2 linked regions of the Elephas maximus indicus genome follow. The protein of the gene in region 1 purifies or fractionates together with the protein of each later gene. This does not show direct contact. Links are inferred from orthologs where the notes say so. Each region holds a gene or a part of one and is shown on either strand. Other genes may lie near its edges.

Evidence for each region. The genes of interacting proteins can lie anywhere in the genome.
Region 2: the proteins of CAPZB (region 1) and KIAA1671 purify together in Homo sapiens (co-immunoprecipitation; 3 studies listed by BioGRID and IntAct, with this or other methods). This does not show direct contact. The link is inferred for Elephas maximus indicus from reciprocal best matches to the Homo sapiens genes CAPZB and KIAA1671.

What each region holds. Positions count from the first base shown.
Region 1 is NC_064821.1:59,057,068-59,064,052, forward strand, and holds the start of CAPZB (F-actin-capping protein subunit beta), read right to left. Parts: upstream 3,058-6,985; 5' UTR 2,955-3,057; coding exon 2,952-2,954; intron 1-2,951. UniProt on the Homo sapiens protein: F-actin-capping proteins bind in a Ca(2+)-independent manner to the fast growing ends of actin filaments (barbed end) thereby blocking the exchange of subunits at these ends.
Region 2 is NC_064840.1:31,707,362-31,714,871, forward strand, and holds the start of KIAA1671 (uncharacterized protein KIAA1671 homolog), read right to left. Parts: upstream 3,037-7,510; 5' UTR 1-3,036.

The DNA of each region.
Region 1 (6,985 bases):
ATTCATTCCAAAGTCAAATGCATTTCAGATTACCAAACTGCTATGTCCCCCCATGGAAAACTGAGATCTAGCTGTTTTCTTTACTGTCAAATCTAGTAAAAATATAAACTTCCATGGTCTTAAGACATTTATCTATGATGCAACCCCACGCCACCACTTCCGTGCTAACCCAGGTGTCTACCCTGGTTTATTAGTCAGGGTATTTAAGCAGGGCATAAAAACGGACAATAATCAAGAAATTATTTACAAGCCTAGGGGATACTAAAAACAAGATACGAGAATCCGTGTGAAAGTCAAGAGACCAAGTTCATGGACACAGACACATTCCAAAACACAGCACTGCAAGACATTTGCTTCAGTGCCAGATGCCATCCTAGGCCCTGGAGATATAGCTATGGAAAACACAAGACAAAAATCACTGCCCTCAAAGACCTCACATTCTTGCCCAAGCTAAATGTATCTGCATTGCCATACTATTAAATAAGATCTTCTATGCAAAGGACCTAGCACACAGTCGGTAGTCAATAAATACTACTCCTCCCTTCCCATCTCTGGGTATCCCATTGTTAGGGTTTTTAAACAGTGCCATTTATATGTTTCACATAGGCAGCCTGGTGCAATGGGAGGAACTCAGTTTGGAGCTTGCCAGATGCGCTTCCTCTGACTGCCCGTGGCTTTTCCACTGACCAGGCAACACCTTGAATAAGTTACTTTACCCCCAAGCCTCAGTTTCTTCACCTGTAAAATGGGACAGCAACTACCCCAAAGGGCGCTGTGTGGATTACACAGGTTCATATAAGTGAGGCAAGCAGCATGATGTCTGGTACCCAGTAGGCCCCCAATAAACATTAGTCCTTTTCTCTCATCTCTTCCATAGTCTTTTCAGATTGTCCAAATGAGAGCCAAATACAGAACTCTTCAGGAGCCTGTTGTGCTGTCACGCTCCTCCTGGGTCATTATAGGCACTACCCCATCAAATCCCATCAAAATCAGGCACCCAGGAGGCCAAGGCCAGATGCCCCTCCCTCCCGGGGCCTGATAGGCTGCCTCTGTAGCCCCACCTCTCCACTTGACGCTCCATCTACCCTCTCCTGCTTTTGCCCTGGGAGCACACTTACAAAACTTCAGTCTGCTTTGAAACTCCTCACCCCAAAACTGTCCTGGAGAAATCCTTGCCCACCCAGGCCCAGGGCTAGGTTCACCTCCCATGCAGCCAGCTCTGGGTCAGAGCTACAGGAGAAGTTCAGTGGCATTAAAAATGACACCGGCCATGTTTTTAATCCGTATACAGGAATGCAGGAAGAAAATCCTTGGCCAAGCTGAATTAGTCACCCTAATTCAGCAGCAACATCCCTTGATTAAACAAGGAACCAGGATCCTCAAACCCCTTGGGGCCCAAAGTCCAGACACAAGCATTCGCCCTGCACTGGGTGAGAGGAACCCCACAGCAGGGCCCTGATGCAGCAGGTGGATGGGCTCAGCTCAGTCAGCCCCATCTGCGCAGGTTCTCTGACTATGTGGAGCAGAAACCCTCTGGCCCTTCCAGCCTGGATGCTGGGCCTGCCCTACATAAGGTTCCAAAGTGGAGTGGGGAGACTCCCATCTGAGGGCCCCTAGGGACCTGTGTGAAACCCCAGGCCTGTCAAATCAGCCAGACAGCAGCACCTGCCTTCATTACCAAAACAACCACCACGAGTGGAGTTCTCTCCAGCTCCATCTAGCTCACCTGATCCGAGGCACCTCCATAATCAGCAGTTCCAACCCTCACAAGCTGACAGTTCAGGGGGAAAGGGAGGCTGCGCCTGCTAGGGTGCATCGTGTCCAGGCCTTATGTGGGGCTCAGGTCCTAGCGGCCCCCCAAAGGCTAAGGCCTCACAAGGGCAATTGTGTGCTCATCTCTGTCCTGTCAGCTCCCCTACACTCAGCCCTCCCCTCCCACTCATGCTCTCACTCCGTGGGAACCCGGCGCCCCGCAGGACACTCCTCAGGCACCGCACCCGCTGCACGAAGGGTGGGGATGGCCCACAACGCGCTGCGCTGCCTTCCGGGCACACAGATGCCCGCCCTTCCCTTGCTCGCTCCCAGGCGGCCTCCCCAGAAGGGGCAACCCTCAACCTGAGAAGGCACAGCACTGGTACCACCACCACCCTGGTTTGAGAGCTCCCCTCGCTCCCATGCCAGAAGAGAGACAGCTGGGAAGGTTCGCTCTAGGCATGGGGGAGTGAGCCACTGGGTCAAGGGGCAGGGCAGGGAGCAGGGCCCTGGTGGCAGAGTAAAGTTGGAGAGCGCAGGCCCAGGCTGCGCTAAGACCGGCAGCAAGAGGGGAAGGGTGGCATAAATGGGAGGTACGGTCCAGGCGGAGTCCATGAAGGAGGGGAGGTCCAGACTTAAGGCTACGGGAGAGGAAAGAAGGTTCAGAATGAGACCATGGAGGAGAGGGGGAACAAATCTGAGCTAAGGCCACAGGCGGGAGGTGGGAAGTGACGGAGCTCCAGGCCGGGACCATGGAGAGGGGAACAGAGTGCAGTGGGGAGCAGGGGCCTAGTATGGGCCGTAAGTGAGGAAAGGAGTACCTAGCCCGGGCCAAGGGGAGGGAAAGAAGGACCACGCCTGGGACACTGGAGGGGGTGCCTGGCCTGGACCACGGATGAAGGGGGGTCTAGCCTGGGCTATGGGGGAGACTAGCCTGACCCAGAGGTGGAGAGTGGGGCTCCAGCTTGAGCCAAGGGCGGGAGCAGAGAGGGAGAGACAGGGTCACTGACCACCCAAGCCGCCCGGGCCAGCGGCCCCCTCCTGAGCGGGGAAGGATGGTGTCTGCCTACAGCCCAGGACCCCGCCCCTCCCCCACCCCCGGGAACCCACCCTTCACTGGCCGGGGGTCCGCGGGGGGAGGGGAACGCGAGTGCCGGCGGGGCCCCCGGGGCTGGAGGAGGGTGACGTCGAGCCTTTACCATGGTGGCGGCGGCGGCGGCAGCGGTCCCGGTCCCGGCGTTTCTGGCTCTCCCCCCCGCAGTAGGGCCCGGCGCTTCCACTTCCCCGGGTGCCCAGGAGTGAACATCCGGGTCAGCGCCCCCTCCCCCCGCGCCGGGCCGCCGCCACCTTCCTTCCCCGCCCCGGCCCCGGGCCGGGCCCGCCCCCCACGCAGCCAGGTCTCGGCCAATGAACGCGCAGGGCCGCTGCGATCGCCAAGTATGGAGCGCGGCGCGGAGGGAGGGGCGTCGAATGGGGAAGTAAGGGGCGGGGCCTGCGCGGCGGGGCGGGGCGCGGTGGCCGAGCCGGCTAAGTAGGCGGGGTGGGGGCTGGGGCTGGGGTTGGGGCTGGCGCCGGGGCCAGGCTAGGGGGGGTCCTTCGGCGAGCTGCAGGCCGAAGCGGATGGCTCTGTGCCTGCCTGCAGAAGCGGGTGGCAGCAGAGGAGCCGTGCCCGCGGGCGTCCCGGGCGGAGATGCGGAAGGCGCTGGACTTGGGAGGGGACAGCCCTCCCCGACCCACTGCGTGCATCGCTCACGCCTGCGATGGACCCGGAACTGGTGCCGACTCAGGGGCAGCCCAACCCCGAGAGAGAGTTTTAGGAGGAGCGGTGGCTACGAGCTTGGGCTCTGGATGGAACCCGGGGTGTAATCTCAGCCCTGCCCCGCCACTCCTGGCTACGTGTGGGTCTTGGAGCAAGCCACTGCACCTGAGCCCGGTCTCTAAAAAAGAGCCTCCAGTCACACCATTTATTGCATACCTGCCATATACCAGGCCCTCTTTTAGGCACCAAAAGATAACTGACAGGTGAATCAGACATGAAGGTCACTGCCTTCATAGCTGCCTACTACAGGGTAGTTGTGAGGACGATACAGGTCAAGAGAAAACTGGGCTCCGTAAATGTGAGGTGTTACGAGTACCTTCAGATGTGCTACAAAGAACCAACCCATTGCCTGATAAGGCTGCCTCACTCCACAGAGTAACTCAGGAATTCTTTTTTTTAAATCTCCTCCTTCAACAAATATTTGTTAAGCTTGGTCTGGAAGGCAAGAGACCAGGAATGCTAGTCCTGCTAATAATACCCCTCCCCCTGCCTTGCTGGCTCTTTGTTGAGAATCAAATCAGGTCACATGTGAGAGGACTGTAAAGTGTTGCACAAATGACAGCAACTATTACCATGAGCCAAACCCTTTCCTAGGCCCCTGTCCTCAGGAAGGTCACAGTCCACAGAGATAAATCCCACAAGAATATTATAGACAGGCAGTACAGAAATTTAGAGAAGAGAATTTGTTGTTAAGTGCCTTCGAGTCAGTTCTGACTCATAGCAACCCTGTGCACAACAGCACGAAACACTGCCTGGTCCTGAGCCACCCTAAAATCGTTGTTATGCTTGAGCTCATTGTTGAAGCCAGTGTGTCATCCACCTCACTGAGGGTCTTCCTCTTTTCTACTGACCCTGTACTTTGCCAAGCGTGACGTCCTTCTCCAGGAACTGATCCCGCCTGACAGCACGTCCAAAGTGTGTAAGACACAGTCTCCCCAGGCCTGCTTCTAAGGAGCATTCTGGCTGTACTTCTTCCAATACAGGTTTGTTCGTTCTTTTGGCAGTCCATGGTATATTCAATATTCACCAACACCGCAATTCAAAGGCGTCAATTCTTCCCTCTTCCTTGTTCATTGTCCAGCTTTCACATGCATATGATGTGATTGAAAATACCATGGCTTGGGTTAGGTGCACCTTATTCTTCAAGGCAAAGAGAAGAATATCTTTGCTTTTCAACACTTTAAAGAGGTCCTTTGCAGCAGATTTACCTAACGCGATGCGTCATTTGATTTCTCCACTGCTGCTTCTGTGGGTGTTGATTGTGGATCCAAGTAAAATGAAATCCTCGATAACTTCAATCTTTTCTCCATTTATCATGATGTTGCTCACTGGTCCAGTTGTGAGGATTTTTGTTTTCTTTATGTCAAGGTGCAATCCCTACTGAAGACTGTGGTCTTTGACCTTCCTTATGAAGTGCTTAAAGTTCTTTTCACATTCAGCGAGCAAGGTTGTATTGTCTGCATAACCCAGGTTGTTAATAAATCCTCCTCCAATCCTTATGCCCCATTCTTCTTAGTCTAGTCCAGCTTCTCAGATTATTTGCTCAGCATACAAATTAAATAAGTATGGTGAAAAGATACAACCCTGATGTACACCTTTCCTGACTTTAAACCAATCAGTATCCCCTTGTTCTGTCCAAACGACTGCCTCTTGGTCTATGTAAAGGTTCCTCATGAGCACAATTAAGTGTTCTAGAATTCCCATTCTTGACAATGTTATCCATAATTTGTTATTGAATGCCTTTGCATAGTCAATAAAACACAGGTAAACATCCTTTTGATACTCTCTGCTTTCAGCCAGGATCCATGTGACATCAGCAGTGATATCCCTGGTTCCATGTCTTCTGAAACCAGCCTGAATTTCTGGCAGTTCCCTGTTGATACACTGCTGCAGCCACTTTTGAATGATCTTCAGCAAAATTTTGCTTGCTGTGATATTAATGATATTGTTCTATAATTTCTGCATTCAGTTGGATCACCTTTCTTGGGAATAGGCATAAATATGGATCTCTTCCAGTCAGTTGGCCAGGAAGCTGTCTTACATATTTCTTGGCATAGACGAGTGGTTAGTGGCAATAGCACTTAACTACTATGCTGCCAGGGTTTCCAGGGCACATAGTAGGTTCTCAATAAATATTTGTTGAATGAGAGGGTTTTGAAGTGCCGTTCCCTCACATGTCTGTCAGTTTCTTGTACTGTGGGGGCTTACGTGTTGCTGTGATGCTGGAAGCTATGCCACCAGTATTCAGATACCAGCAGGGTTACCCGTGGAGGACAGGTTTCAGCTGAACTTCCAAACTATGACAGCCTAGGAAGAAGGACCCGGCAGTCAACAAATATTTATTGAGAACCTACTATGTGCCCTGGAAATCCAGTTAGCATAGTGATTAAGTGCTATTGCCGCTAATCAAAAGGTCAGCAGTTCTAATCCACCAGGCACTCCTTGGAAACTCTATGGGGCAGTTCTACTCTGTCCTATAGGGTCGCTATGAGTCGGAATCAACTGGACAGAAATGGATTTGGTTTGTGTTTTTTTTTTACTATGTGCTCTGGTGGCACAGTGGTTAAGAGATCCACAGCTAACCAAAAGGTTGGCAGTTCGAATCCACCAGCTACTTCCTGGAAACTCTATGGGTCAGTTCTACTCTGTCCTATAGGGTCACTATGAGTCAGAATCTACTTGACGGCAACGGGTTTGCTTTGGTTTTTTTAACGTGCCAATGTGGGAATACAGCAGTGAAGAAACATTCCATGTTGTCTTGGAGCTTAAATGTTGCCGAGGAGAGAGACAATCAGCTAACAATTACATATAGCATGTCAGGTGGTATCTTCGTCATCTAATGCTGTTAGTACAGAAATACCACAAGTGGATGGCTTTGACAAAGAGAAATGTATTCTCTCACAGTCTAAGAGGCTAGAAGTTTGAATTCAGGGTACCAGCTCCAAAGGAAGGTTTTGTCTCTCACTCAGCTCTGGGGACAGATCCGTGTCATCAGTCTTCACTGGTGAAGGAGCTTCTCAGCACAGGGACTCTGGGCTCAAAGGACACACTATCTTCCTGGCTCTTGTTTCTTGATGGTTTAAGGTACCCATGTCTCCCTGCTCACTTCTCTCTTTTATATCTCAAAAGAGATTGACTTAAAAAGCAACCTGATCTTGTAGATTGAGTCCTGCCTCATTAACATAACTGCCACTAATTCCACCTCATTAACATCATAGAGGTAGGATTTACAACACATGGGAAAATCAAGATCAAGATGGCAGACTGGAGGACAATAATGGGAATCCTACCCTAGCCAAGTGGACACATATTTTCGGGGGACACAATTCAATCCATAACAGAGTGAGACGGGCAGCCAGCCGCTAGATGGCGAATGGAAGGAGCTAAGCCACCATTTTCCCTTCTTCATGGCCT
Region 2 (7,510 bases), on another chromosome or scaffold:
TAGCCAAAGGGTTGGTGGCTCGAACCTACCCAGAAGAGCCTCAGAAGAAAGGCCTGGAAATCTCCTTCCAAAAGGTCACAACCACTGAAAACCTTACAGAGCACAGTTCTGCTCTGCACACGTGGGGGGCCATTAGTAGGAATTGACTTGATAGCAACTAACAACAGCAGCAGCAGCAGTATGTCCTCAAACACCTCTGCAGGGCCTTGCACGGGCTGCGCCTGCTCTCTGGAACACCCCTCTCGCTCACACACACACAGGCCCACCATGGGAGAAAGATGTGGTTGTCTGCTTCCATAAAGATTACACCCTTGGAAACTCTATGGGGCAGTTCTACTCTGTCTTATAGGGTTGCTGTGAGTCGGAATCAACTTGATGGCAATGGGTTGGCTTCCTTGGATCTGCCTTAGGGGCCATCCCACAGGGAAGGGCAAGACGAGAGAGAAGAGAAAGCAAGGTTCTTGGTAGGCACTTCTCTTTACCAGAGTAGTGCCTCTGTTGTCTGTAATCTGTTTAATATCCTGTGCTTCCTCGCCAGTTTTAATTTTAAATGCCTGGCAAATGCCTGATATGTCAATATGGTTTGATGAATGGTGCGGTGAATTAATTAATACATCAATGAACGAAGGTAAAAGAGTTTCTAAGCTATGATAGTGGATGGCTAAATAATATTTTCAAGTCCTTCCCAAACCCAGAAGCCCTCGATTCTCCGATTTTTACTTAACCTGTTGTAAAAGGCAACCAATTTAAATATAGGCTTTAAACCTCACTTTAAATGGATCACATATGCTATGCTTGATTTAAGAGACGTGGGTCTCTTCCAAAACATTTCAGAAGCCCAGGCACACAGAGGCCAGCTGCTTGCTATTCCTGGGGTAGCCTCATTCACTCTTTCTAAATTAGCTGAGCACTATGTCTGAAGCCATGGGCCCTAGGTGGCACAAATGGTTTGCAGTTGGTTGGTAACCGAACAGTTGGTGGTTCAAACCCACCCAGCAGTGCTATGAAAGAAAGGCCTGGCAATCTGCTCCCATAAAGATTACAGACAAGAAACTGCTATGGAACAGTTCTGCTCTGTAACACACGGGGTCACCACAGATTGGAACCAAACCGATGGCACTGACGGCACAACAACATGGCCAAAGCAAGGTAAACAAGAGCTCCCTGGGACTGGCTGAAGAAAGAAGGGAAACTGATCTGAGCAATCTCTAATTGTATTATTTTTTAACATTTATTACGGAGGTCAGCAATGGGCAGCAGACAGGAAGCAAGGTGTCCACCTGGAAGGCCAGGAAGCCGTAGCGGACATCAGTAAAGAACGAGACTACATCAGTCTGACCTCAAGCAGTGACAGTAGCAATGGGTCTTTCTCTGCTGCTGCTGAACCCGCCAAGTCCTCAAGCTCGATCTCCCTAAATTGATTTGTAAACTTTGAAATTCCCATTTCCTGCAATTTCATGCAGAGAAAACCATTTTCCTGGGAAGGGAGTCGCCAAGAGCAACAGTTACTGAAATCAGACAGGAGACATTTGAAAGTATTCACCTGTCCATCCTTCCAATGCTCCTTCCACAAACACGGATTGCCTACCTGTCAAATGCCAGGTTGGGTGCTGGGTGCTGAGGGCAACAGCCACGGAGCTCACAGTCTCCTAGGAAATCCGAGAGGCCCACAGAGGTAGAAGGCAAGGGAAGCACTTCCATTCAAAACCTAGCAGTCTGGCAGCTTTTCTCCCAGACTGGGAGGCTTTGATTCATTCGAACAGCTGCTGACGATCTTTCATAATTACAGCCTTAGATCCGATCTGGGCGCTCGGCAACCATTCACTCAGTCATCTCCGGGTACCATACCCTGGGAATGCCACCATCTGGTGATGGGTGTGGGCCTATCCTGACACCTTCCAGCACCTTCTGGAATGTGACCTCAGCCCTTAAATCTGCAAATCTATCCCGTGGGGTGCACTGTGTGAAGGGGCAAGAGTGGACAGGCAAAACCCATGTGCTTGTCCTTCTACAAGAGCAGGGCTGCAGTACACGCGTATGGTCTGTCCGCCCAGCGGCCACAGATGGGTCTAAACAGAAGCACATCTATGAAAAGTAGGCCTACGGCAATTAGTTTTAAATTGCTGAATGATCTCTCACAGCTGGCAGTAGAAACCGTGAAGGCCAAATTAAACTGCTCACTGGCGCTTCCCCTTCAAGTGGAGCCCAAGGCATATGCCATACCTGCCATCCTTTAGATATGACTCTGCTGCCCCGCCACCCTGCCACTCATGGGAAGTGCCCCACCGAAATGTCAAATGCTGTTGGAGTGCATCCTCTCTGTCCCCATGGCAGTGGTCCTAGGTCATTTCTTCATTTCTTCATTCATTCCAATACACAATTATTGAGTACCTACTATATACTACTATGTGCTTTGTATTCTATCTATCTACTATGGCTCTGAGCCAGGCTCTGGAGTCCCACTTTCTGTATTCTGAGACACAACTAAATCTTCTACATCCTTCATGATTCCTTATAAACAGCTGGTGCTCAAAAAGGTTTGCTGAGAGACTAAATGAAATTCCTTTGCCGGCAGGAGAAGTGGTGAGAGCCAAGTTTCTTCCTGAGTTTTAATACTTCTGTTAAGAATTGCCTTAATTAGCATAGTCTTGATTTCAGCACAGCACAAACCGTTTGCACCCGACTGCTAACCAAACGGATGGTGGTTTAAACCCATTCAGCAGCACGGCAGAAGAAAGGTCTGGCGATCTGCTTCTGTAAAGATTTTAAAAAAGAACCCATTGCCGTCCAGTTGATTTCAACACATAGCAACCCTGCAGGAGAGGGTGGGACTGCCCCATAGGGTTTCCAAGGCTGTAAATCTCTACAGAAGTAGACTGACACATGTTTATCCCTCAGAGCGGCTAATGGGTTTGAACCGGCAACCTTTCAGTTAGCAGCCGAGTGCTTAACCACTGCACCACCGGGGCTTCTCCTGTCAAGATTACAGCCACTGAAAACCCTATGGAGCACAGTTCTACTCTGTAACACATGGGGTCGCCATGAGGCAGAATCGATTCAACCGCAAAGGCTTTTTTTTTTTTTTTTTTGGTTTTTAATTTCAGGTAAACGGCCTCCTCATTCAAGCTCAGCACACCTCTGACATTTCAGACTTCTAGAATCCACAGGGACAGCTGGAGGTGGCTTTTCCCCAAGGAAAAAGAGGTGGGTAGGTCACATTCACACCCACAAATGGGTCCTATGGTTAAGAGATTTGGGGGAACACTGGGTTCAACAGGTGCTTTTTAAACAAGATTTTTGCATTTTAGAAATGCCAAAGCAAAATCCAGATTGCTTCGGCCCAATGCCCTTTTCCCAGGTGCAACCACCCATTTGGAAGAGGAAGGTGACAACATTATCTTTTTGCCAAGATCTCTTTAAACATCCGCCTTTTCAGTTTTCATTGGTGTGCCCCTTCCTACTGTTTATGCTGTTTTTGAACTGGCTGGAGCACTCACTAAGAAAATCAAGCTGCTTTTTTGTTACTGTTTTTTTCTAGATCAGGGATTGGCAAACTGTGGCCCACAGGCCAAATCTGGCCCATTTCCTATTTTTGTAAATGAAGTTTTATTGAAACACAGCCTCACTCATTTATTTGTGCACTGTCTGTGGCTGCTTTCAAGGTACTACAACAGGGTTGAGCATTTGTGACAGTGACCATACGACCCATAAAGCCTAAAATACTTATTTATAATAAAAAGCCTAAAGTATTTATAATAAAAATTAGTTTTTCTCTGGCAGATAATTACAGAAAAGTTTGCCGACCCTGGTGCTAAGTTGTGGAGAACTCAGTTGCCTAAGAGACTAGACTTCCTCAAGGACGTGACAGCCCCCTTTTTATCTAAAATCAGTTGTCGTAGAGTTGATTCTGACTCACAGCAATTCCATGTATGTCAGAGTAGAACTGTGCTCCATAGTGTTTTCAATGGCTGATTTTTCTGAAGTAGATTGCCAGGCCTTTCTTCTGAGGTACCTTGGTGGACTCGAACCACCAACCTTCTGGTTAGCAGCCAACTGTGTTAACCATTTACACTACCCAGGGACTCCTATGCATCCAAAGCCCTTACAGTATTCTGGCTGAGACCCACCCCTTCACTGCTGTTGTTGTGTGCCATCAAGTCACTTCCGACTCACAACGAAACTATAGGACAGAGTAGAACTGACCCCTAGGGTTTCCTACGCTGTAATATTTGCAGCAGATTTTCAGGTCTCTTCTGCAGAGGAAACCCTGGTGGCGTAGTGGTTAAGTGCTACGGCTGCTAACCAAACGGTCAGCAGTTCGAATCCACCAGGCACTCCTTGGAAATTCTATGGGGGCAGTTCTACTCTGTCCTATAGGATCGCTATGAGTTGGAATTGACTCAACGGCACTGGGTTTGGTTTTGGTTTTTGGTCTCCTGCAGATAGGATGGTGGGTTCGAACTGCCAACGTTTAGGTTGGCATCCAAGTGCTTAACCATTGAGCCACCAGGACTCCACCCCTTCACTAAACAACAACAACAAAAAACCCTTTGCTTTCATGTTGATTCTGCTCATAGCGACTCTGTAGCTTCACTAGGCCTCTTCAATTGCCCTACATGGTAAGTACAAAAAAATTTTAAAATACAGAAATACATATGAACAAAAGTTTTTTTAATAACCCTAAATCCCACCATCCAGAGCCAACAACCACTATTACCATTCTGATATATGTCAACCGGGACATCTGCCAATGTAAATGGGAACTTTCTGCCAAAACTAAAATAGAATTAGACCATATACTCTTTTTATTTTATTTTTAAATATATATCATGAACATCCTTCATGTCAATAGCTATACAACAGACTCTAATGCTTATATAGGACTCTACACTGACTCTTCGCTAACTGACTATCTTGTTATCTGACATTTTGCATTTCCAATAGTAAAAAATCTACTATCTATTTTGTGCATCAACAATGTATGTCTGGCAGTAACGAACACCAAGGTATGAAGCAAGAGTAATGCTGGGTATGAGGGTTAAGGTTATGTGTCGGCTTGGCTGGGCCATGATTCTCAGTGGCTTGGCAGTTATGTAATGATGAAATTTGGCAGTTATGTAATGATATAGTCATCCTCCATTTTCATATAACGTTGGTTTCCACTTAACAACCTGGTCTTTTGAACCTAACTAAAACTGTCAATAAGTGAAGAAAAAAAAAAATTAAGCGAGGAGTGGGTATATTAGAGACAATTGCATAGGAAGGTGGCCTGTTGGCGCAACTGTTAAGCACTCAGCTGCTAACCAAAGGGTTGTCAGTTCGAACCCCCCCAGCAGCTCCACAGGAGAAAGTCCTGGGAGATCTACTCCCGTAAAGATTATAGCCTAGAAAACCCTATGCGGCAGTTCTACTCTGTCACATGGGGTCACTATGAGTTGGAATTGACCCAATGGCACCTAACAACGACATCAATTACACAAATCACCTACCCTCTAGTACAGGATCAGGGCCCTGATGATGCAGTAGTTAAGAGCTACGGCTGCTAAACAAAAGGTGAAAAAAAAAAGTAGGCAGCTCAAATCCACCAGCCGCTCCTTGGAAACCCTCTGGGGCAGTTCTACTTTGTCCCATAGGGTCATTATGAGTCGGAATCAAATGGATGGCAACGAATTTGGGTTTTTTTTGTTTGTTTGTTTTAGTACTGGATCTTTAAATTGTTCTGAATTATTCACCATTATAACCAACACTGCAGTGAACATCCACATGTAATTATTTTCTCAAGATAAACATTGCCTAGAAGTGAGCTCGCTGGTTCAAGGGTGTACAACTTTTTAAAAAGTTTTTGTTATATCCCGAATGGACCTTTGCACCTAAAGGAAGCACGTCCCATGCTGACTCAACTCAAAGCTTCGGAGGCCAGAGTTCTCAACCTCTCCCCTGGGGCAGACCCAATAAAGGTGTCTCGTGAGCAATAAACCAGGACACTTGGCTGGCCTTGTCTTCCCTTGAAACTTTACTGGCCCTGGTTTATGGCATGATCATAATAAACTTGACCACAAGGCTTCCAAGGCCAATTAGAGTAGCTCACAGAAAGAGTAAGTTTGGGGCCAGCCCAGAGTCCCTGGACAGGTCTGGCGTTGGAAGAGCGAGCCAGAAGGAAGACCAGCCAGGAACTGATGTTCACTGCAGGTGGAACTCAACCCCTAAACTCAATTCAACACACAGTCTGTAAGCACCTGCTGTATGCCAGGTACAATGCTTGGCTCAGTAACAGGTGAATACAACATGCTCTCCCTTTAGGGAGTCTAAAAAGGGCATATTGCATTCCAGAAAGAAATAATTCCCTTCAAGTGCAAATGAATTTCTGAAGGAATTAGCTTCTGTTGGCCCAAGAACTGCCTTATGTGCAGAGCTCAAAGCCTGTCTCATCACATCACTCCCCACCTCTAAAACCATCAATGGCTCCCATTGCCCATTGCCTTGGACAAGGTATCCAAGTCCTCTCTCCCCCAAAACCTAATCCTGGTCTACACGGTAGGCCCTGAACACACACCCAATTTCCCAAATGGGTCCCAGGATTTTAGTGTGTTTTTCATCCTGTTTCTTCTTTGTGGGTAGCCCTTTGCCCACACCACAATTTCCATATGCCCAAATCCCACCCATCCTTATAAAAAAAAAAAAACTTACCATCATATAGATTCTGACTCATGGAGACCCCATATGTGTCAAAGTAGGACCCTGCTCCTTACGGTCTCCAATGGCTAATTTTTCAGAAGTAGATCACCAGACCTTTCTTCTATAGTACCTCTGGGTGGACTTGAACCTTCAACCTTTCGGTTAGCAGTCAAGCGCTTAAACGTTTGCCACACCCAGGAACATACCTATCCTTTTAGGACAGCTTAAATGTCACCTTCTCCAGGAAGCATATGCTGATTTTCCAGCCCAAAGTGACGTCCAACCTTCCTCAGCAATTTACCCGATCATAACACCGTGTATGAGATATGAGCCCAAGTGTCTTCCCATTGCAAGATTTACAGCCCTGCCCCCATCCTATCCAAGGCATAAACCCCTCCTCTCTGAGTTTCCCTTCACAGAACCTACTCACACCTGGCACAGACAAGGCAGATTGGGATAGTGCTGGATTCCTCTGATGTGGGAGGCAGCCCATGTGGGACACAGGATGGTGTTAGGTAACCGTGAGGATGCCTTGATATCCAGGCTCAGCCTTGAATGACATTGGGTGCAGCTGTTTTCTTTCTCATTCTCATGGGAGTCTTCTGTTGACGTCCCAAGACAGTCTTGGCTTGGTGCTTCTTTGCCTTTAACACCTACATCTCCATTACCTGCTCACCTCCAAATTTAAGAGAGAGAAAACAGTCTCAAGCTTAGACCACTAGTCACAACAGTAGCAGCAGTAATAGATTTTAAAAATATTCATTGTATTTAATCTTACTGTTATTTTCTATTTAAGGCAAGTGACACTAGTTTTCTATTTACAATACTTTGTTTT